Linked DNA regions of Diceros bicornis minor. The protein of the gene in region 1 purifies or fractionates together with the protein of each later gene. This does not show direct contact. Links are inferred from orthologs where the notes say so. Each region holds a gene or a part of one and is shown in the gene's direction. Other genes may lie near its edges.

The links.
Region 2: the proteins of ACVR2B (region 1) and INHBA purify together in Homo sapiens (affinity purification with western blotting; 3 studies listed by BioGRID and IntAct, with this or other methods). This does not show direct contact. The link is inferred for Diceros bicornis minor from reciprocal best matches to the Homo sapiens genes ACVR2B and INHBA.

Annotation. Positions count from the first base shown.
Region 1 is NC_080741.1:41,292,710-41,302,264, forward strand, and holds the start of ACVR2B (activin receptor type-2B), read left to right. Parts: upstream 1-5,495; 5' UTR 5,496-6,084; coding exon 6,085-6,199; intron 6,200-9,555. UniProt on the Homo sapiens protein: Transmembrane serine/threonine kinase activin type-2 receptor forming an activin receptor complex with activin type-1 serine/threonine kinase receptors (ACVR1, ACVR1B or ACVR1c).
Region 2 is NC_080742.1:5,596,207-5,606,272, forward strand, and holds the start of INHBA (inhibin beta A chain), read left to right. Parts: upstream 1-5,768; 5' UTR 5,769-5,956; coding exon 5,957-6,344; intron 6,345-10,066. UniProt on the Homo sapiens protein: Inhibins/activins are involved in regulating a number of diverse functions such as hypothalamic and pituitary hormone secretion, gonadal hormone secretion, germ cell development and maturation, erythroid differentiation, insulin secretion, nerve cell survival, embryonic axial development or bone growth, depending on their subunit composition.

The DNA of each region.
Region 1 (9,555 bases):
CTAGACAAGATCTTCAACTCTGAGGACTGGAGACAACTGAGAACAGCTTGGAGGTGCAGATTGAAGCGGGGGGTGGGTGGGAATTCTGAGGACCACTTGGGGTAAGGGTGGAGAATCAAATAGTCAGAGGCCCTTTTCCACCTGCTGCTGCTCTGCGCGGCCGGGCTCCGCGCCGTCCCTGCCTTGGATGGGTCCAACTACAGCATCTCCAGCTGTCCCTTTGTGTGTGTGGGGTGGGGTTGCAGACGTGGGGGACCACTTGTCATTTCAGAGAAGTCAGCCTTTTTCTGCTGATTAGTTCACCCATCAATAAAGACACGACTCTCCTATGGTTCATTGTGACCCCCATTTCACAGGGAAACGGAGGCGCAGAGGGGAATCCAGGCCAGAGTCCGGGGGCTGGCCATCCACTCCGGGGTCGCAGGGCAGCACGAGTTCGGGAGCATGGGCTCCAGCGCGTGGAGCAAGAATCTCGGGTGCGGCGGCCACGGGCTCCCGGGGCAAAGTGGTCCAGGGTGCAATCCCGCCACCTCTGTCTGCGCACCCAGCCTCGTCTTCCAGCTCCACGGTTTGCACGCATCCTCCCGGAGGGCGCGGGCTGGGGGCGGGGCCTCCTTGTTGTTGTTTCTCTGGGGCCCCGCCCCTGAGGGGGGCGCGGACCACGCGGCTAGAGGGCCCGCCTCCCCTCCCCCTCCCCCTCCCCGCCCAGCTCGCCCGCCTCTTTGTATCCAACATCCGGGTTTCCCCGCTGGCTCGGCTCCGCGGCCACGGCTCAGGAGCCATTTTGGACTCGGTTCAGCTCCCCTCCCCCCACCCCTCCCCCCGTTCATGGCCCCTCCGGACTCGGCCCCTGCGCCCGGGGCCCGGGCCCAGCCCCGCCGCGCTATGCCCGAGTCGGGCGCGCCCCGGCCCGCGCCCCGCCGCCGCCCCCCGGCCCCTGCGTCGCCCCGGAGCCCGGGCCGCAGCCTGCGCCGCCCGCAGCAGCCGTGAGCCCGGCCCCGCCGCCTGGCCCTTGGAGCCTGCACGCTGCCCGGGGACGAAGGCGCAGGAAGCGCGCGGGGAACGGGACCGAAGGAAGGAGCGGGAAGGAGAGCGCAGCCGCCGCCGGGCCCTGCGCGCCCCGGGAGCGCCGCGCGGCCCTGCCCGCGGGCTCCGGGTGTCCGCGGGGCGGCGCCGCGGAACATGACGGCGCCCTGGGCGGCCCTCGCCCTCCTCTGGGGATCGCTGTGCGCGGGTAAGGACGAGGCGCGGCGTGCGGGGTGCGGGGAGGGCGAGCCGGGCTGGCCTCGGGCGCCGCACGGTGTTGACCAACAAAGGGCGGGCCCGCGGCCTCCTCGCCGCGCCACCTGCACCTAGCTTACACCTCCCGGGGCGGGGACTAGGGGCGCGCTGGGCGCCCCGCTCGCCGATCTTAGGAGGACGGTCTTGTCTGTACGGCGGCCTGCGGGGCTCCGGTTCGCGGGGGCGACCCCATGATGGGGGCGGGACCTGGAGCCCCAGGGTCCGGGTTCAGGATACGCGGGCGCCTGGAACCCAGGGAGAGGGAGAGGAAAACCGGAGCGTGGGGAGGGTGGCCAAGCGGGGCGGGCAGATCTAATCCGAGGGTGGCGGGATTGTAGGTGCAGCAGCTGCTGGGGGCAGGGCTGCGCGACCTTCAAAGCCACGAAGTGTTGCGAAGCGAAGGGGGTTGCTTCACACAGCCCGGCGGGGTCCTCTGCACCCCATCCCACCAACGTCTGCGTCGTTCCCCGAAAGGCGGGCCGTTGGCATCAGCTCCCAACTGCGCCCGCTTTCCCTGCGGCGGGCCTCAGGACGCTAGGTGCGGCCGCCCTGCGGGACCGCTTTGTTTTGGGCGCCTGGGAGGGGAGGTGAGGCGAGAAGAAAAGCCAACATGTCCCAGTTCGTTCTGGCCTCCGGGAAGCACGTGGCGGGGGTGGGTGACCCGCGGGGCTAGCGTTCGGCTCGCGTGTGTGTGGGTGCAGGTGTATATACGCGGAGTTTCGGAAAAGCGCTTTTTCCTCAAGGCCGAAGCACTGATTTTCCTCTTCTAGCGGTGCTGGGGCGCGCCCAACGCAGGTGTGCGCGCAGGGACCGCCTGTGGGAAACGTGGGGAGCTGCGCAGTGAAGCTCTAGGGAGAAGCCTGGGGCGGCGGGTGCGCGGTAGGCCGGGAGCTGGGTCCTGCGCGTCTTTGTTCCCAGCCCCCATTACACATGCAGCGCGGGTCCCCCGCCGCCCGCGGTGGCAGCAGCGCGGAGTCTGGGAAACCCTCGAAGGGCGGGGCCGGGTGCGCGAGGGCGGGGCTGGGATCCCCGCGCTGCTGCGGGCGTGGGGATCCGGGATCTCCATCCCATCGCCACCTCTACTCTAATCGCCTGCTTTACGGTATAGCGTGGCTTAGCTGTCCGCACCGAAAGCCAGTGAGTTGTCGGTGTGGGGATTGGAGCTAAGTAGCCTGAGTGCAGGGTCCAGAGGACAGAGACCCTCTTATTGGTACCTCGGAACGATGTGGGAGGGGGCATCATGGCTCTTGTGGAGCCATTTTCTGTGTGGCAGAAGCGAAGTGGTGGTGGTGTTGAACTTGTTTCTCTCTCTGTCTTTTAAGTGCTGCTTTGAGATGCTTTTTCCCAAGAATGAGAGCTCTGAAGTGAAAGGAAAGCATTGGTCTCTAGGGGGGTGGGCGGGAGCAAGCCGACTTAATAGGCACCAGCAGCCTACCTGGCTGTCTCTAGATTCCTCCTGGAGGTGCCTGGGTTCTTCTAAGCCCAAGCCTGCAGAGGGGGCCTCCTCCTAGGACAGGACAGCCTCAAACCTGGAACCTTCTCCTTAATTTGTCTCAGTCTGGCCTCACCAGTCTCACCTCCCTCCCTGTTGAGGCAGGGCAGAGTTGAATTGGGCCCCTGGAAGGACTGTATTTCTCTCCTCTTCCCCCTGCTCCCCACTCCTGGCTTGGGTAGTGCTGAGCAGTGTACCCTGCAAGGTGGGGCAGCTGGAGCTAGACTGGAGTCCCATCACCTGTGTTCTTGCCCTGGGAGGAAGGTGGGGGTCACCATCTTCTAGTCGCCACTGCCCTGATTTATGAGGAATTATGGGAAGAGCTGCCCCAGGCCCAGGTTGGGGGCAGAGCTGGCCTTCCTGTTCCTTTGACTTCGTGAATGCCCTTCCTTCAAGCTCCTGGCTTGCTGTTTAGAATTACCCCCACCCCCTGTGGCACACAGTGCCCTTGTAGAAGGAAGATCTAGGATAGCACTGTCCAACAGAAATATAGTGTGAACCAGATATATAACTTAAAATTTTCTAGTAGTCATGTTAATAAAAGGAAAAAGAAACAGGTGTTTCTTTTAGGGCTGCTATAACAAAATACCATAGACTGGGTGACTTAGCCAAATTTATTTTCTCACAGGTCTGGAGCCTGGAAGTCCAAGATGAGTGTGCCAGGGTTCTGGTGAGGGCCTTCTTCCTAGCTTGCAGATGGCTGTCTTCTCACTGTGTCCTCACGGGGCCTTTCCTTGGTGCTGGTGGGGAGAGAGAGAGAGAGAGAGTTTTTTCTTTCTTCCTCTTCCACTAACCCCATCATGAGGGCCCCACCCTCATGAACCATTTTAACTCAAATTATCTTCCAAATATCATCATACTGGGTGTTAGGGTTTCAACATATGAATTTTGAGGGAACATAGTATAGTCCATAACAAAGTGAAATTAACTTTAATGGTATATTTTATTTAACCTAATATATACAAAATAATCATTTCACTATGTAATCAGTATTAAAATAATGAGAATAAAAGAATAAAATAAATTCTTTTTGTTGTACTGTCATGAAAATCTAGTGTGTATTTTATACTTACAGAACATGTCAGTTCACACTTGCCACGTTTCAAGTGCTCCGTAGTCACATTTGGCTGGTGGCTACCATACTGGATGGCACGGGCCTAGAAGAAAAGGTGGAATTCGTGCTGTAATAGTGGCACATGGTGCTTGTTACAAGATCAGTGTTCAGTTAGTTCTGCAAGTCTTTTGTGTTCTGTGCCTGGCCCGGTGTCCTTGGGAAAAAAGTCATCTGGCTCTTGCCTTGCACTGGACATCCCAGACACACATCTCTGTGTGCCACAAGAACTCCGGACATCTGCTTCTGTACTTGGGGTTCAGATTGGAGCCTGTGGGGCGGGGTGAAGAGTGTTCTGGTGGAATGTTGGGAGCCACTGGTGGGGAAAGAGGACCTGACTCCTGTCTGCCCCATCAGGAAGTGCAGGCCTTGACTGCCCCAAGCCGTCCTCATTGGCTGGCTACTTTCTGACCCAAAGATGTTGTCCATTTTCTTAGGGGAGAAGTGTGTGTGTGATGAGTCAAGTGACCTTCAGGCCCAGTGTAGTGGTTGCTGTCAAGGCCATGTACCACAGAGCCACAGGCCATTGGTGCTCTTCCCCAGGGAAGGGTGTCCTGTGCTACCTGTCCTTATATCTGTGGGCACTCCAGGTTCTCCCTGGCCGGCTGGCCTAGCCTTTGGGAGGAGTGGGCACCCTCCTCAGCTCTTAGAGGCTCTTCCAAGGTAGGTGATGTGAGAAACTCACCCAACCTCCCAGGCCCTACAGCTGGGTGAAAGCATAAGACCCAGAACCCCACGGCCTCGCACAGCTTGGGTGGGCCTCTGTGGTGTACTACCCCACAAGGTCTTTCTGGGCATCGAGAATCCCCAAATAGCACCTGGACCTCCCGTGGCACTTCACCTAAGGAATTTCCTTTGCAAAGAGCCCCCATCCTACACCATGGTCCTTTGTATCATGGGCCCCTCTGAGAACTGATAAAAGCTGTGGACCCTTTCCCCAGGAAAATACAAATCAGGGTGCGAGTGTGTGTGTGCACACATGCACATACACACATTGTGCAGCACACTTGCTGTTTTGCACTGATAACAGGAACCTGTGCCCCCCTGGGTTGGCCTCTGTGAAGTCCTGACTGCCCTGCACATACCCGCTGTACCAGTCCTGAGGGGCAACTTGCTGTCCTTTGGGGGTTCACCGGGCTTGTTCCTACATTGCTGCATCCACTTACCCTGTTCTAGCCACTGGACATGACTTCTTTACTTCTGTCATTTGTGATCTTGCCCAGTGTTCATGTTCCAGCCCTAGTCTCCTCCTCCTCCAGGAAGGCCTCCCCTGAGTACCTATGCATTCAGCCCCCTACCTGGCAGCTCAGGATAAAGTGGGGACCAAGGGACATCAGGTCAGAGATTAGATCCACTTGCGGATACTGGCCTGTTACCGTGGACTGGGATCTGGGGGCCGAGGGGGATCTGGCCTGGGTAATGCTTTTGAGAAGGACACTGAATAGACAGCCCTCAGGTGGGGTCCTGGCTAGGTAGACCTCATTCCAGGACAGAGTTTCTCAACCTTGACACTATTGACAGTTTGGACCCCATGTTTCTTTGTGTGGGGGGGGTGTATGTTGGGGTAGTGGTGAGAGCTGTCTTGTGCACTGTAGGATGTTTAGCAGCTTCCCTGGCCTCTGCCCACTAAATGCTTATAGCACTTCTAATCGTGACAACCGGAAATGTCCTAGGCAGAGGGGGTGCAAAATCACCTCGGGTTGAGAATATCTGCTCTAGAATGTTCTCATGCTTTAAAGAGACAGACGTTTGTGGGAGATGGGGTTAATGGCTAATGTCTGCATACACCCCCCCTCCCATTGTATTCGGGGTGGGATGGTGGATTCTCATCCAAGCCTAGGAGATTCCTCCTTTGATAAACCTGCTCGGCTGTGAGCGTTTGGTTCGAAATGAGTGGTTCTGGAGTACCCGCTGGCCGCCGAGGAGAATCCTGGCGTCCTTGAGTTTTCCCAGAAGAGGTTCGGGTTTCAGGGAGGCGGCGGTTGTGGGTGGCCGGGCAGCCCGCCCGCCTCCCTCTGCCCGCCGCCGTGCGGTCTGCGCCTCGTGCCTCTCCCTCCGCACGCGCAGAATGTCAGGAAGTGCCTGTTGCTGGGGCCTGCGCGCCGCCCCGCAGCCCCTGACTGCTCACTCGGGAGCCGCCGGAGCCGGGGCCGCCCGCGGCGGCCTGCAGGAGCGCGGGGGGTGGTAGCAGGACGCGGGCATGCCCTCTCCCCCGGGCGCGCCGGCGGTGCGGCGCCCCGAGGAGCCACAGAGGCTTTGGGCCTGGAGCTCCGAGCCCGGGGACGCCAGGGCAGGGGGGCAGCCTCTCCGCAAAGGTATGGGCACCAGTCTCTCTCCTGGCCTCGGGGAATTGGAGGGCAGGGCAGATTTCTTCTGGACCTGGGGAGGCGTGGTGGGCAGAACTGCCGGCGCCAGGCGCCAGCCCCGGGGCCCTGACGGAAGGGGTGATCTCTATGGGCGCCTGTGTGTTGGGCTTGGCAGGCTGGCAGCACCCGTGTTTGTGCTCCACTGCTCCCCGGACCGACCCCCAGCTCTGCTAGGGAGGGCTTTCTGGGGGGACTCTTCTCTGATCTTGAACTCAGCAAGACAGCTTGCTGCACTTGGAACTGATTACAGACTGGGTTCTCAGGGTGGGAGGAAGCAGTCTTAAAAGCTTCAGTTTCCAGGTTTTCCACATTCCCCGTGTGTGAAGTGCTTATTTTAAAGGGTTTCTTGCTGGAGTTGAGACTTGCCAGTTCCATCTCTTTTGGGGTCCTTCTGAAGGAAAGACCTTGTTGCCTTCTCAAAATTCTTTTCTTCCCTTGCCTTCTATCACCATTCTTCCTTCAGGAATAGACACCCATCCCCATGTTTAGAGCTTCCTTTTTGATCTTTACCCCCCAGACTCACAGGCCCTTTCCCCCCCAGACCCACAGCCCAAGAGGTACCTGTTCCTTGAGGTCCTAGTGGTGCTGCTCCTGGATGCTCAGGTTGTTGGGTAGTGATGGGGATGAGGGAGAGGAGATGCTGCTGCCTTCTTCTGAGTCTTCGTTTTTTAGGTTTTTCAGTGATATATCTGCCTGAGACAGTGATAGGTACTGGAAACCAACTGATAATGTGGACTGGGATTGTTCTAGGATCAGCCGTGCCTCTTCCTGGCCCAGGATCACTCATGCCTTCGGACAGCCCTATGCTTTACCCTGGTAATTCCAGTCTCGCTGTACACATACATGTGCCTTTTTCAAAGTGTCTCAGGGACTGGCAGCCCTAGCTGAGTGTTTTCATTCACGGACACGTGATTGCTGGGAGCGAGTGTTGGAAAGGAAGCCTGCCCCACTGGGCAGATGTATGGCCCTCCTCCCCCCGGGGACCTTCTCTTGGGGCCTGGCCTGCTGCACAATGGGACTTCTCCTCTCTAGCCAGTTTCTGGGCTGGAGCTGAGGTGTTTTGTGAGGTGAGCTCATGTTCTTGTTTTCAAACGTTCCTTTGCCGACTATTTCAGTTCTACTCTGACAACCAAGGAGTCTAAAATTAGTTCTGGGGAAAGAAAAGGAAGGCTGGTTGGAAACCCAAGCTCTTGGCTGGAGGATGGAGAAGGCTGCTTCCTGGGGTTTGTGGCCGAGCATTTCGGAAGATATGACCAGACCAGCTGTTGTCTGTCCATCCAAGGAGAGGGAGGGGCTCCCTGCTTGCCCCTTAGACCTGAACCAATGAAAACAGGAGGCTGACTTGGAAGCTGACTTTCTTGAGTGTTGATGGCAGGATGTTTTTTACTTCTGGCTTGTGTAGTGGTATACAGTGTTTTCAGGTATGAGGACAATGCCTCTTAATGTTCAGTGTCGTTGACAACCCTCCTTCCATCTTCCTCCCCATTGATTCAGAAAGCATGCATGAGTTCTCAGAGCCTTGGCTGGCAACCATGGGTTAAGAAACCTTTACTTTATGTACTTTTTGGGAATTTCCTTCTCACCCAAGGTTTGACATTCCTTTCGGGTGCTCACAAGCCAGGCAGACCAGGGCCTCATAAGGAGGTCCAGCTTCTCTGTGCCCTGAGGACATAGGGGATCAGGGTTCATCTGCTCTGGGGCTTAGAAAGTAGAGGGACAGAAAGCTTAGAGAGATGAATTCTGGTTTCCCTTTCTACCTGGCTGGCTCCTCCTCTGAACCTCCCATCTGAGAGTGGGTCCTGCAGGCCCGCTCAGGGAAACTAGAGCCAGAGCAGTGCAGTCCTGCCTCCCTGAAAAACGGCTCTCAAACCTCCCCTTACCCAGGGTCTCCTGCTTAGCCACCCTGGGGTATAGTTGGGGGAGTAGAGGTCACTTTAGCCATAACTTCTTTTCCCATTTTCAATTTTATTAATTTTTAGTTTTACAAATAATATATGTACATCAATTGCAGAAATTTAGATGTTAGAGATAAAACCAGGGTCTCTTTTATCACCCCAGTCCCCATTCTCCAGAAGTGAGCCTTCTCGGGTTGGTAGATATCCTTCTAGATATTTTACCTGTGCATCTATAGGAATACTTCAAGAAATAGAGAAGTGTGTGCTTGTTTTTTTACCTAAAATTGTATTGCTCTTTTTCAAACATTTAATTGAAGTATAAAATAAAATACATATAGAACAATGTAATTACCGTGACAGCTTGATGAATTTTCGCAAACTGAATCTGTTCATTTACTTAGCATCCAGATCAAGAATCAGAAATTTACCAGCCCCTCCCCCAGCAAAGCCCTCTCTTGCTCCATTCTAGTCTCTACCTCTGAACCCCTAAGGGTAACCACTATCCTGACTTCTAACAGCATGCGTTAGTATTGCCTGTTTTTGTGTTTTATATGAAAGGAGTCTTATAGAGTGAACTGTTTTGTGTCCATCTTTTGCTCACCATGTTTGTGACTTGCATCTGTGTTGTTGTGTGTCATGGCTTTTTAAATTCAGAGATATGTTTTGGCAATCTTTCTATTATATAGATCTACCTCGATCTTTTTAATAGCTGTGTGAAATTTCAAAGTTTGGGTGTAGACTACATTTTATCTAGTTTCCTATTGATGGGCTTCCTGATTGTATATAGTTTATGCAGATTGTTTCTCAAGAATAGATGACAAGAAGAGGAATTTCTGGGTCATAATGACATGTATATTTTAAATTTTAATAGATACTGATAAATGACTGTACTGTGTTTTTATTTTTTTGAGGCTACCCAGGTGTTGGTATTTGGGGCAGAAGCTGGGTGAGACAGCAGGTGGCCCTCTGCAGCAGTCTGTGAGCACCTCCTCCCCTCCAGAAATGCTAGATTATAGAGATTGGAAATAGCCCACTTCATGAAGGGTGCCTGGACAAGGAGAGTGCTCACTTCTACTGGCCTAGAGTCTGAGGAGAGCCAGAGAAGCTGCTTCCTATGTCTGAGTCTCCTGGTTACTGTGCTTACAGAGGGAGTAAGCAGTGGACTAGAGGATGTGCTGGTCTGGGTTTGAGATAGAGGTGCATGTGTGTGTCTGTGTGTGCTCTCTCGCCATGCTCCATTCTGCCTCTACCCTCCAGAAAGACTGAGGCACTTGCTGAAGGTTGTGAGGAGCTGTGGATACCAGGGCACCACTGGTGAGCCCAGTGCATTTGACAAGATCTTGGCATGGCAGGATCCTGATTTCACATGTGATGATAATGGTGGTAGGGGGTATGGGAGAAACATGTGGA
Region 2 (10,066 bases), on another chromosome or scaffold:
TGTTCACGTCTCCTGGCGTGTATTTTTCACTGAATAACAGCAATGCATGAGCTGCAGCTACAATAAGAGAGCCATGAAAAACAGCCCCCTTTTCTAGGCCTGTTTCCTTGTTCCAGGAGTACTGAGCAAAGAGACCAATTAATAGCACGGATAGAAGGCGAAGGACATACGGTTTGCCTCAGAAGAAAAATGAACATTCTTGCCTCTTGATCTATGCCAGCTTTGTACAGAGACAGCTGCCGCCACGGGTAAACACCACTATAGGTTAGCCGTGCCCTAAGATGTGTGTCACCTCGGGCCACAGGGAGGCACAGGGACGCTGGTCTCTCCCCTGTTTGCACCACTGAGCTCTTATCCTTAAACGAACTTTGTTTTCTGACCAGCTCACTAATCGTGATCGAAAACACCAGCTCCCCAGCAAGGCACAAGCACTGGAGTTAGCAGCAGCAAGACAGGCCCTAATTGCTCCATTTACATAAAAGTAGAAACATACAACTTCTAAATATAAATCTCTGGCACATCGTGCCTTTTGCAATTACAGTAAAATAAGGTACCACAGTTTCCCTCCCGGCTCCCTCTCGCAACAAGCTGCTCCACCGGGTTCTCCAGGGGCTGCTCCTCGAGGCGAGAACAGAGCCATGCAAATGCTCCAGCGAGCGGCTGGGCGCTTTGTGAAGTAGCCAGTAAATCAGGCCGCCTGCACTAGGAGAAAAACGCGGCGGCAGCGGGCCACTGTGCCAGCGCAGTCGCTGGTAGGACCCAACTCCGCAGTCGGAAAGGGGACAGCTCGTGGGGCGTCAGCGCTTCTAGCGCGCCTCTGTCCGCCCTGGAGCCGGCCCGCAGGTCCCCGTCCTGGTCCCTGACATTGGCTGTGCTTGCAGCCCTGGCACGAGGGCTAGGTTCAGAGATTCCCAGCTGCACTCACTGAACAGTGATTTTTTTTTTCCCCTCTCTGAATTCTTTAGCTGCCAAAAGGGGGGAAAAATCAAGAGCTGCTTTTAAAAGAAGTTGCCCTTGCTGGTGCTCGGGGTAAAAATAGAGGCGGCCGCTCCGAATGGCTTGGCCCTGACTCCAGACCCGAGAGCCGGGCTCGAGCAGCAGCCGCGTTCCGGCGTGATCCCCGGGAGCTGCCAGCAGGTGTTGCTCAAGGTACAGTAGCAGGCCGAGCAGCGGGACCGCAGGGCCCGGGCGTGGGGAAGCTGCGGGGGGAGGGGGCTGGAAGTGAAAGAGAAACCAAACCCAGGAAGGAAGAGGAGATGCTTGTCAGGAGCTGGGCTGACCCGTTTACCCCTGGGTCCTGGAGTTCGGAGGGGGTTAAAAGATCAGTCCCAGTCCAAAATATTCGACAGAAGTTATTTTAACCTGCCTGCTTCCTCCACCACCCCCACCTTCATTTCCACTGAGTGAGGAGGCATTTCCAGTGTGGCTCAGCTCCAAGGCTGGGGATTCAGGTAGAGAATGACATCACAGCTGGTGGGCCAACCTGGCAGGTGGGCACTTCCGTGGCATCCGATGGCCAACGCGATCTGAGTCACACTTATAGGGTGGCTCCTCTAGTCAGAGTGCTGCAGATTCCTGTGACACAAATGTTTAGAAAGAGCCACCATGCATCTCAGAAATAATATCACCTCTTCTTTCCTGAGTACAGGCTTCCCTGCAATTGAGTATTGCGGATCCTACTTCATAGACGAGAACACTGAGGCCCTACGTGACATGGTTAGTAGGCAGTGAACCTGGGGTCTGATCTGGGTTGGTGGTCTACCCCCACACTCATGGCGGTGGTGGTACTTCCAGGACCCCAGGGTTCATGCGTGGGGGAGGGGGCAGGTTTAGCTGCCCTGCAGGCCATTGCTCTCCAGCAGTGCTCCTCACAGAGGTGGGACATTCCTTTCTTCTAAAGAGGTTGAGTCCATCTAGTTCTCAAGTGCTGGACAGCTTTGGAGTTAACCAACACTGATCCTGTTTCTGTCTTTCCTTCTCAGATTCCCTCTGTTCCTCTACAACCTAATGATTTTATTTTCTACTTCATTTCTGCGTATGCAGATGGTAGAATACTCACCCCCCAGCCCCCACTGTACAGCTCAGCATCCACACTTTCTCTGTGTTCAGCCAAGGCAGACCCTGTTACGCAGAAGACTTATGGTGTCCTAAAGGAACCTGCTTCAACTGCACGTCAGGAGGCCAGAGCCTCTGTATTTTGCTTGTGGGCACAGTGAAAAGTTTATTTTATGCATGTTAAATCCTGCATACAAAACAACATATCTGGTCAGATGGCTTTCATTAGCTCCCAGTTTTGCACATTTTATTCAACTTGTCATGAGTACCCAGCTATATTCCTTCTCCATCAGTCTTGTCTGAAGATTCCTTCCTCCTGTGTTATTTCCCAGACTTGCTAATACTCCCCCACCCCCCTCAAAAAAAAAAACCATAACCAACTTGACCCGTATTTCAAGGAATGTTTTTCTTTTCGTTAATCTCGTGTTATATTTGTAACAATTTTAAAATCATAGGACTTGAAGTTCTGATAAAGAAGAATGTTGTATGAGTTGTTTTTTTTTTTTTCTTTTTTGTTAGATTGGGATTCTAAAGACCTGGGAAAGATAAAGTTCACTTGCAGAGAATGACTGTTTCCAAAGTTCTTGGTGATAAATGATTTATGAAGCAGGCATTCAATTTCAAGCGTAAAATAATAGTGTAAGTCAGGGGAGGGGAAACCATTATCATATCGGTATGCATATGTTCCTTTTTTTCTCAATGAAATATCTTATTTTAAAAAGTAAAATTAGAATCCCTATAAAGAGCACTGTGAATTTTCCTGCCTGTAAGAAACAATAAAATACTTTTTAAATAGAGGCAACTTCATGAAGTAACAGATGTTTTATGTGAAGACATAAAGCTGAACCTGAATATAATGAGAAGTGTGTGTGCGAGTAGTACAAGAAAAGTTGAAAGTTGGACACTCAGTGAGACGTAGCTGTTCCATTCCGGTGTTTTTCTAAAAGGTAATCCAGTCAGTCAGAGGTTTAACTGGCTCAGTGATCACCCAGTGTCACAGCAGCCAAGAAAGGCTTTCCATTAGATAATGAATTATGAAATATGGCTCACACTGGAAAAACCAGTCATCTGCTGATGTCATGCTGATTCTGACCAATCCCAAACAAAGCCCCAGCCCTCCTCTGTTTGAGTGGTACCAATGTGTGAGTGTACAAATAAGTAGTACAGTATAAAACTTCCCAGTGCCAATACCATGAAGAGGAACTCAGACAGCTCCTAACCACATAATACAAGAGTCTGCTGGAGAAAGAGAGGACCGGAGAGGTAATCTTTTTAACTCTTACTTATGAGCTATTTACACATTCAGAATCAGAAGGGTTAGAAGGAATTTTACAGCTTATTGACACTTCCATGCACATTGGGATTTATATCTTTTTATATTATTCAGGCAGGTTAATATAGCTTTTAATAGTAGAGCATGCAAATAGATTATGTGTTTATACAACTCATTCAGCACTTAAATGCAAATACATATGCCAAAGAGAAAGCTATTTTTTAAGAGTTACATTCACAAACAGTAAATTCAGGGAAAACACACATACTCACATACAGAGAGAATCCAAAGATTGATAAATTGCACTTATCTAAATGCTACTATTAGGACTCTTGAGTTGTTTGGAGTCATTAAACTTTTAATTCTATTTCAGACTCTCTTGTAAAACTTAATTGGACTACGAAATGCTTTGGGTACTGTATATGTGACGCCAAATAAGTACATTGTGCTAAGTATTATATTTCAAAGATGTTTTATTAAACAATTATAATGCAAACTCCCCCTTCCCCATTCTCTTTCACCATCACCCACTAAAAAAATTAGACTTTTTAGGGAATGTAAGCAAAGTCTTAACAATAAGAGCAGAGTAATTGATGTTCCTGGAGGTGAAACCCCAAAGCTGATAGATGGCTTGTAACAGAGAAAGTCTTGCAAGTAGTTGTTTTGGGAAAGGGAGACAGTGTATCCTATTCAGAATAGCATTGTTACCTGTGCAAACTGTAATTTTAACTTAGTGCCACAATTTTCTCACCCTCCTCCCCTTGCCCTCAGATCTTGTCCTTGTACTAATGATATTTATTAACTTTTTCCACCAAACTGCATTGCTTGACTATAATGCTCTGAACACACTAGGTGTCAGATATAAGCTGACTGTATCTACAGAAACTGAGAGGGCTTATGTGTGGGAAAGAAACCGAGAGGGAGGGAAAGCTTTAACAGATGGACCTCTTAAAGATACTTCTGCAAGATAAAAGCAATAAGAAAATGAAAAAGGGGGCTGGGGGGGAGGAGAATAAAAAAAAACTCAGAGAAGCATTGTTTAAAAATTCACATTTTTCTTTTTCTGTGAACAGTGAAATCCGTGATAATTTCATCTGTGCTGTTCCTTTGAGGGAAAAAGAAGCCATTAAAGGAGCCAGTCCATGAACACACTGATCTGGGATGGGGTAGGGGGCAGGCTGAAAAAACTACCACATGACAGAGAAAATAATTTGCCAATATATTTTAGAGATTCTTTTCCCATAGGACTAGTTATTCAAGTCACAGGAGTGCACTGTTTGTGTAAAATAATGTGGGAAAGGGCAAATGAATTTTGCATTTGATCTGTGAAGTCAGGGCCGGTGGTGGTAGGCTGTAATTTGTGAGTGCCTGTGTGCAGAGCAGAAGGGGGTGGCGGCTAAGGAGAGGGGAAAGAGCTTCACAGGACACGGACACGTAAAATGCTGCCTGCTTGTGGATCTTCCAGTGCCCGGCTGCATTTTGCAGCTGGGGAAAGTAGAGTGTATTATATGACCCCAAACAAAAGTTCTATTGCACTCTCCTCAGATCCCCAGCCGGTGGTGAGGATCCAGAACATTTCAATAGGAATGAATGGGGAAACGAAGATCTCCAGGATTCCCTCAGGCCCCAACAATTGACTGGCCGGCCCCCTAGCACATTGGCCCCTCAGCCCTCTTCCCAACTCCACTACCTGTCCACTGACCTCTCGGCACCCCGAGCCCCACCGGACAGGACAGGCTGGTAGGCGTTTGGTCCCCTGGGGCTGTGGCTAGGTAGGGTGGAGGGGTGCTGGGGGTGGGCTGTTTCAATCCAGTCATCCCTGCTGATGGAGCCAGTGCATTTGTTTGGCATTTTCTTTCTCCTCCAAAAGAGGAAGAAGGTGAAGCAAGGGGACTGGGCAGAGAAAGAAAAAAAAAAAGAAGTAGAACAAAATTAGGAGAATTTCTTTCAGAAGGGAAAGTAGAACTCCCGAGAATGCTGGTATTTGAAGAGAGGTGTGTGTTGTGAGGGAGCAAGGAACAGAAGGAAGGCAGCCTGTCAGAAAACGGGCTGTCCCTCCCCTTCCTAATCACAGCCTTTACTCACAGACGAACTCCCTCCCTCTCCCATTCACTCACTCACTTAGGGCCAATCGTTCTCTCGTTCTCTCTCTCTCTCTCTCTCTCTCCCCCCCTCCCCCCTCCCTCCCTCCCTCTCTCCCTTTCCCTCTCTCCCTCCCTCCCTCTCTCTCCCTCTCCCCCTTCTCTCCCTCACTCTTCTCTCCCCCTCTCTCCTCTCTCCCTGTCTCTCCCTCCCTTCCATCCTCTCTCTGTCTCTGTCTGTCTCCCCCCCACCCTGTCTCTCCCTCCCTCCCTCCTTCTCTCCCTCCCTCCCTCCCTCCCTCCTTCTCTCTTACTCGGAGACAGTCAGAACTCTCCTCCCTGACAGCCACAAACCTACAGCACTGACTGCATTCAGAGAGGGAACCTGCAAACAAAACTTCACAGAAAACTTTTTGTTCTTGTTCCAGAGAATTTGCTGAAGAGGAGAAGGAAAAAAACAAACAAACAAACAAACAAACCTGTGCGAGAGGGGGGAGGAAAAGCAGGGCCTTTTAAAAAGGCAATCACAACAACTTTTGCTGCCAGGATGCCCTTGCTTTGGCTGAGAGGATTTTTGTTGGCGAGTTGCTGGATTATAGTGAGGAGTTCCCCCACCCCAGGATCCGAGGGGCAGAGTGCAGCCTCCGACTGCCCGTCCTGTGCACTGGCCACCCTCCCAAAGGATGTACCCAACTCTCAGCCGGAGATGGTGGAGGCCGTCAAGAAGCACATTTTAAACATGCTGCACTTGAAGAAGAGACCCGATGTCACCCAGCCTGTGCCCAAGGCGGCGCTTCTGAACGCTATCCGAAAGCTCCATGTGGGCAAAGTGGGGGAGAACGGGTATGTGGAGATAGAGGATGACATCGGAAGGAGGGCAGAAATGAATGAACTTATGGAGCAGACCTCGGAGATCATCACGTTCGCGGAATCAGGTCGGTGCTGGCATTGAGGGTGGTGGGGGGGATATGTTTCTTTGACAGTCCTAGGAGGAACTTCTTTTCCCTCCAGCTCTAAACTGCCTGGGAAGATCATTAGTTATTAGGTGATGGAGGGGAGGGGAGAGAGCTTCACAGAAATGGAATTCTCGATTGAACCTGGGCTGGAGATGGCTAGCTTACACTTGCTGAACTCAGCCGGTCACTCCGGAGGAAGCTCCGGGGCCAATCTGAAGCTGGAAGCTGGTCTGTGAGAGGCTCCCTCGCCCTGCCTATGAAACCAGATCTGAGCAGCCGGATGGAAGCCGGGGCATTTTCGGGTGCTGGGGGAGCCCAGGAGGCTTCCGGACCCCATCCAAAGTTTTTACTGGGGGGGGGGCAGAGTGCGGGATCGGGATGGAATGGCACAGATGAAGTCATTCTTAAAACAAACCTTCCTTTTAAAAGTCCAGTCAGGGGCCACATCAGCGAAGAAGGGCATATTTATTAGTGACAGTCATTTTTACCTTTAGAAACTCCATCTGTAAGAGCACAGGCATCACATTCTAGGCAGTAAAGAGCGACTTTGGGGGACAGTTGACATTGAAGCAGCAGTCACTTTTGAAACTCTGACTTTTGCTCTTGGAACCAAAAAAAAAAGAGTTTTGTTCTCTATAAAGTTACTAAGAGCTCTCTGCCAAGGAATGCAACCTTGACAAAGTGCTCTCAGATACTACACTGAACTCTCACTCAATCCTTAAGAGGAAGAACTTTAATAAATAGATTCTAATCAATCGTTGGCTCAGGACCACACTAACCTGTTGCTGAGTAGGAAATACCTGTCAAAAATGCAGGCTGTAGACCTGGAGCCAGTTAAGTGACACAGATCCTTTTGCATGCCTGCAAGCCCGTGCACGCCCAGGCACACAGATGTGTTAATACCCTGTTACTTTCATGGTAATGCCAGGCTAAAGAATTGTAGCCCTTGCCAAATCCATTTGAAAGGAATGCCATTGTTTTGTTTGGTAGAGCATATGGCCGGTAAAGTATGTGCAGGGACTCCCAGCATTTCTGTTTAAAAGTTTGCCGCAGCAGTATAAACAATTAAGGCAACACTCAGAATTTCCAATCCTGAAAACCTGTTGACTCAGATGTTCTATTTTCAAGAAAACCATGCGCGACCTGGGCATCCTTTTCGGGGAGTAGGTAGCCCACTGGTTTCCTGGCTTTTCCCTGTAGGAGAAGTCCTGGTGTCCTGCAAGCTCCCGGCAGGGCAGTTCAGCTCTCTCACCAGCAGCTTCTTTCTTTTCAAGAAGGTCTTACTTTCTTTCTCTAGAACGCTTTCTTGATGCAGCCCCAAAGAACATGGTAATTATGACTTTATCTCTTGAAGCTTATTGAGGAAAAAAGTCAGGTTGGAGTTTTCAAGTTGCCACCCAATTTTTCTCGACCTTTCCTGGTGGCAAGGTAGGAAAGAAAGTGCTTAATGACGTTGGGGTCTGTTTGGGGAATGGATTCTAGTGGTCCACAGGACTGCTCCCTCCGTGTCCTGCCCTGCCGCAAGGGACCCTGTATAGGTTTTTATATACCAATTGCCACACATGATGGTCTTAATTGCAGCTCATACTCCTTTGGCTTTACCCGCATCATATAACTAAGTGTACTCAAGCCTTTGACCGCTTTTAATATACACCTGATGCTAGCAATCTGCTCCTCTTTCTGCCTTATCTGACTTGTATAGCAAATCATTCTCTTGGCATTGAGAGATTTTGCAGTGAAAGAATTTGACCTTTTACATTCTTTCTTACTTATGGCCTTCATCTCAGTGCCAATATTTTTCTCAGTTATATGAAATCTTGTCATTTTTTAACTTTTCCATTAGGTATTTAGTTTGAAAGAAATTGAGCTATTTTTTTAAAAAGGCTATTCATTTAACTCACACGCTGACTAAAGTTTAAGGTTTGTAATGGAAATCTCCTCCTGATTGAGTTTACAACTTGACTTTGGGTGAGCTGCTGGATTCTTAGAAAAGGTTTATTACACTTGCTTATTTTTCTCATCTGAGAAATTTTACACATTACCTTCAAGTTGATTTACTATGATTTCACAGATGTAATGATTGCTATGTGGACAATCTACTCTCCAAATAGAGTAGCCTGTGAATATTTTGCTAACCCTGGAAAGAGATTCATCATCTGAATGATTGTAGTGAATATATGAGCATCTTGTTGCTTTTGGAATAATTCAACCTTAATAATATTTAAACTACATCAAATGTCAAAATTTCTGGAGAATAGCAAAGGGCGTTCATTTCTCTTTTCTTTATAAACTGTCATGTACAGCATAGAATCCAATCACTCAGTGTCACCCACATGCATGCCACAGATGCATACCCATAGATGAACCTTTCAACTGCAAGATTCCTCAATTTGGAGGATTCATGTTTCATTTTTGCCTCAATTCTCCTTGATGGTTAAATAAAGCCAAGACATGGCCCAGCAGTTGAGAAACCACAAAAGCTCAAGTGCCTAGAAGTTTTTGACCTGAGCTTGTCCCATTGTGCTCAGGTGGAAAGTGCTCCATCTTGTAAAACCTATATGAGCTGTAATTGACCAAGCAGCCAGGAATTATTCTCAGGCTTTCTGAAATTTATCCCAACAAATGAAAATGATTTTCTTTTTATGTGTGTCAGCCAAGATTGCTCACCAAGGTTTGCATGGCTGGCACAGAATCTTCTCTGTTTACCTTAAGACCTTAAAGGAAAAGAGGAAGGGATGAGTAGAGTCCAGCCAACTATCACTGTAATTGTCAATGAAGCTAAAATCAGTGGCCTTCTTGACTACTACATATTTGTTATGTTATTTTGATATATGATAATAGCTGGTCAGTGTATAATAACAATGTATCATTGAGTCTCCATATGCTGCCAAATTTATAGGCTGATTATGGTAATTAGCAACTGATAGCACTTGTCGAAGAAAGGATAAGGAAAGAAAGACAAATGAAACTCCAAGAAATAGAAAATGCTCACATAGCCTAGGTGTTGTTGAAAGTAACAAATAAATCTCTCTTGGAGGATTCTAGTTACAGAAGATTTGAGTTAGAATTTTACACTGCCCAAACAGGGGTCTAAGCAGGCTTGCTTGGATGACTATTTTCCCTCACCCCAAGAAAGCCATCTCGGAGTGGAGTTGACTCCCACCATTCCATGCCGAGCTTCTGAACTTTTCTGCGAATTACGCCTCACTGAAAGGGTGCCTTTAGGGGTTACACGCTTTCTTCTCTGAATAATGGGAAATGACTGGCCACAAGAGGGCGCATTCCAAAGACTTTTGCTCCTTACCAGTTAATCTAGGCAAACGCAATTTCACCTACTGGAAGCCCCAGTCTGTAGCGCCCTAATCTTGGTGATTATCAGTTACCTCCTGCTTCCTCTCATCCTCCAGAAAAAGTTAGGATTTTATGGGATGGGAGGAACGTGACTACCTGTGATACATTAAATGAGACAGAAGGGAAGGAAATGGGAATTCTAGTGAGGCATGTGAATATTCTGGAGCTCTATGGAAGACAGAGGAATGATAAATTTCAGAAGCAAACAAAGCAGAGCGTGGAGAAATGTGACCATGAATCATCAGCAATACTGATGTGCTCGCACATCTCTCCCTAACACGGCCGCCTGGGCTATTACAAACACGTCTTCCGTCTGCCCTGATTCTGTTGCCTAGTTTGCCTGTCTTATC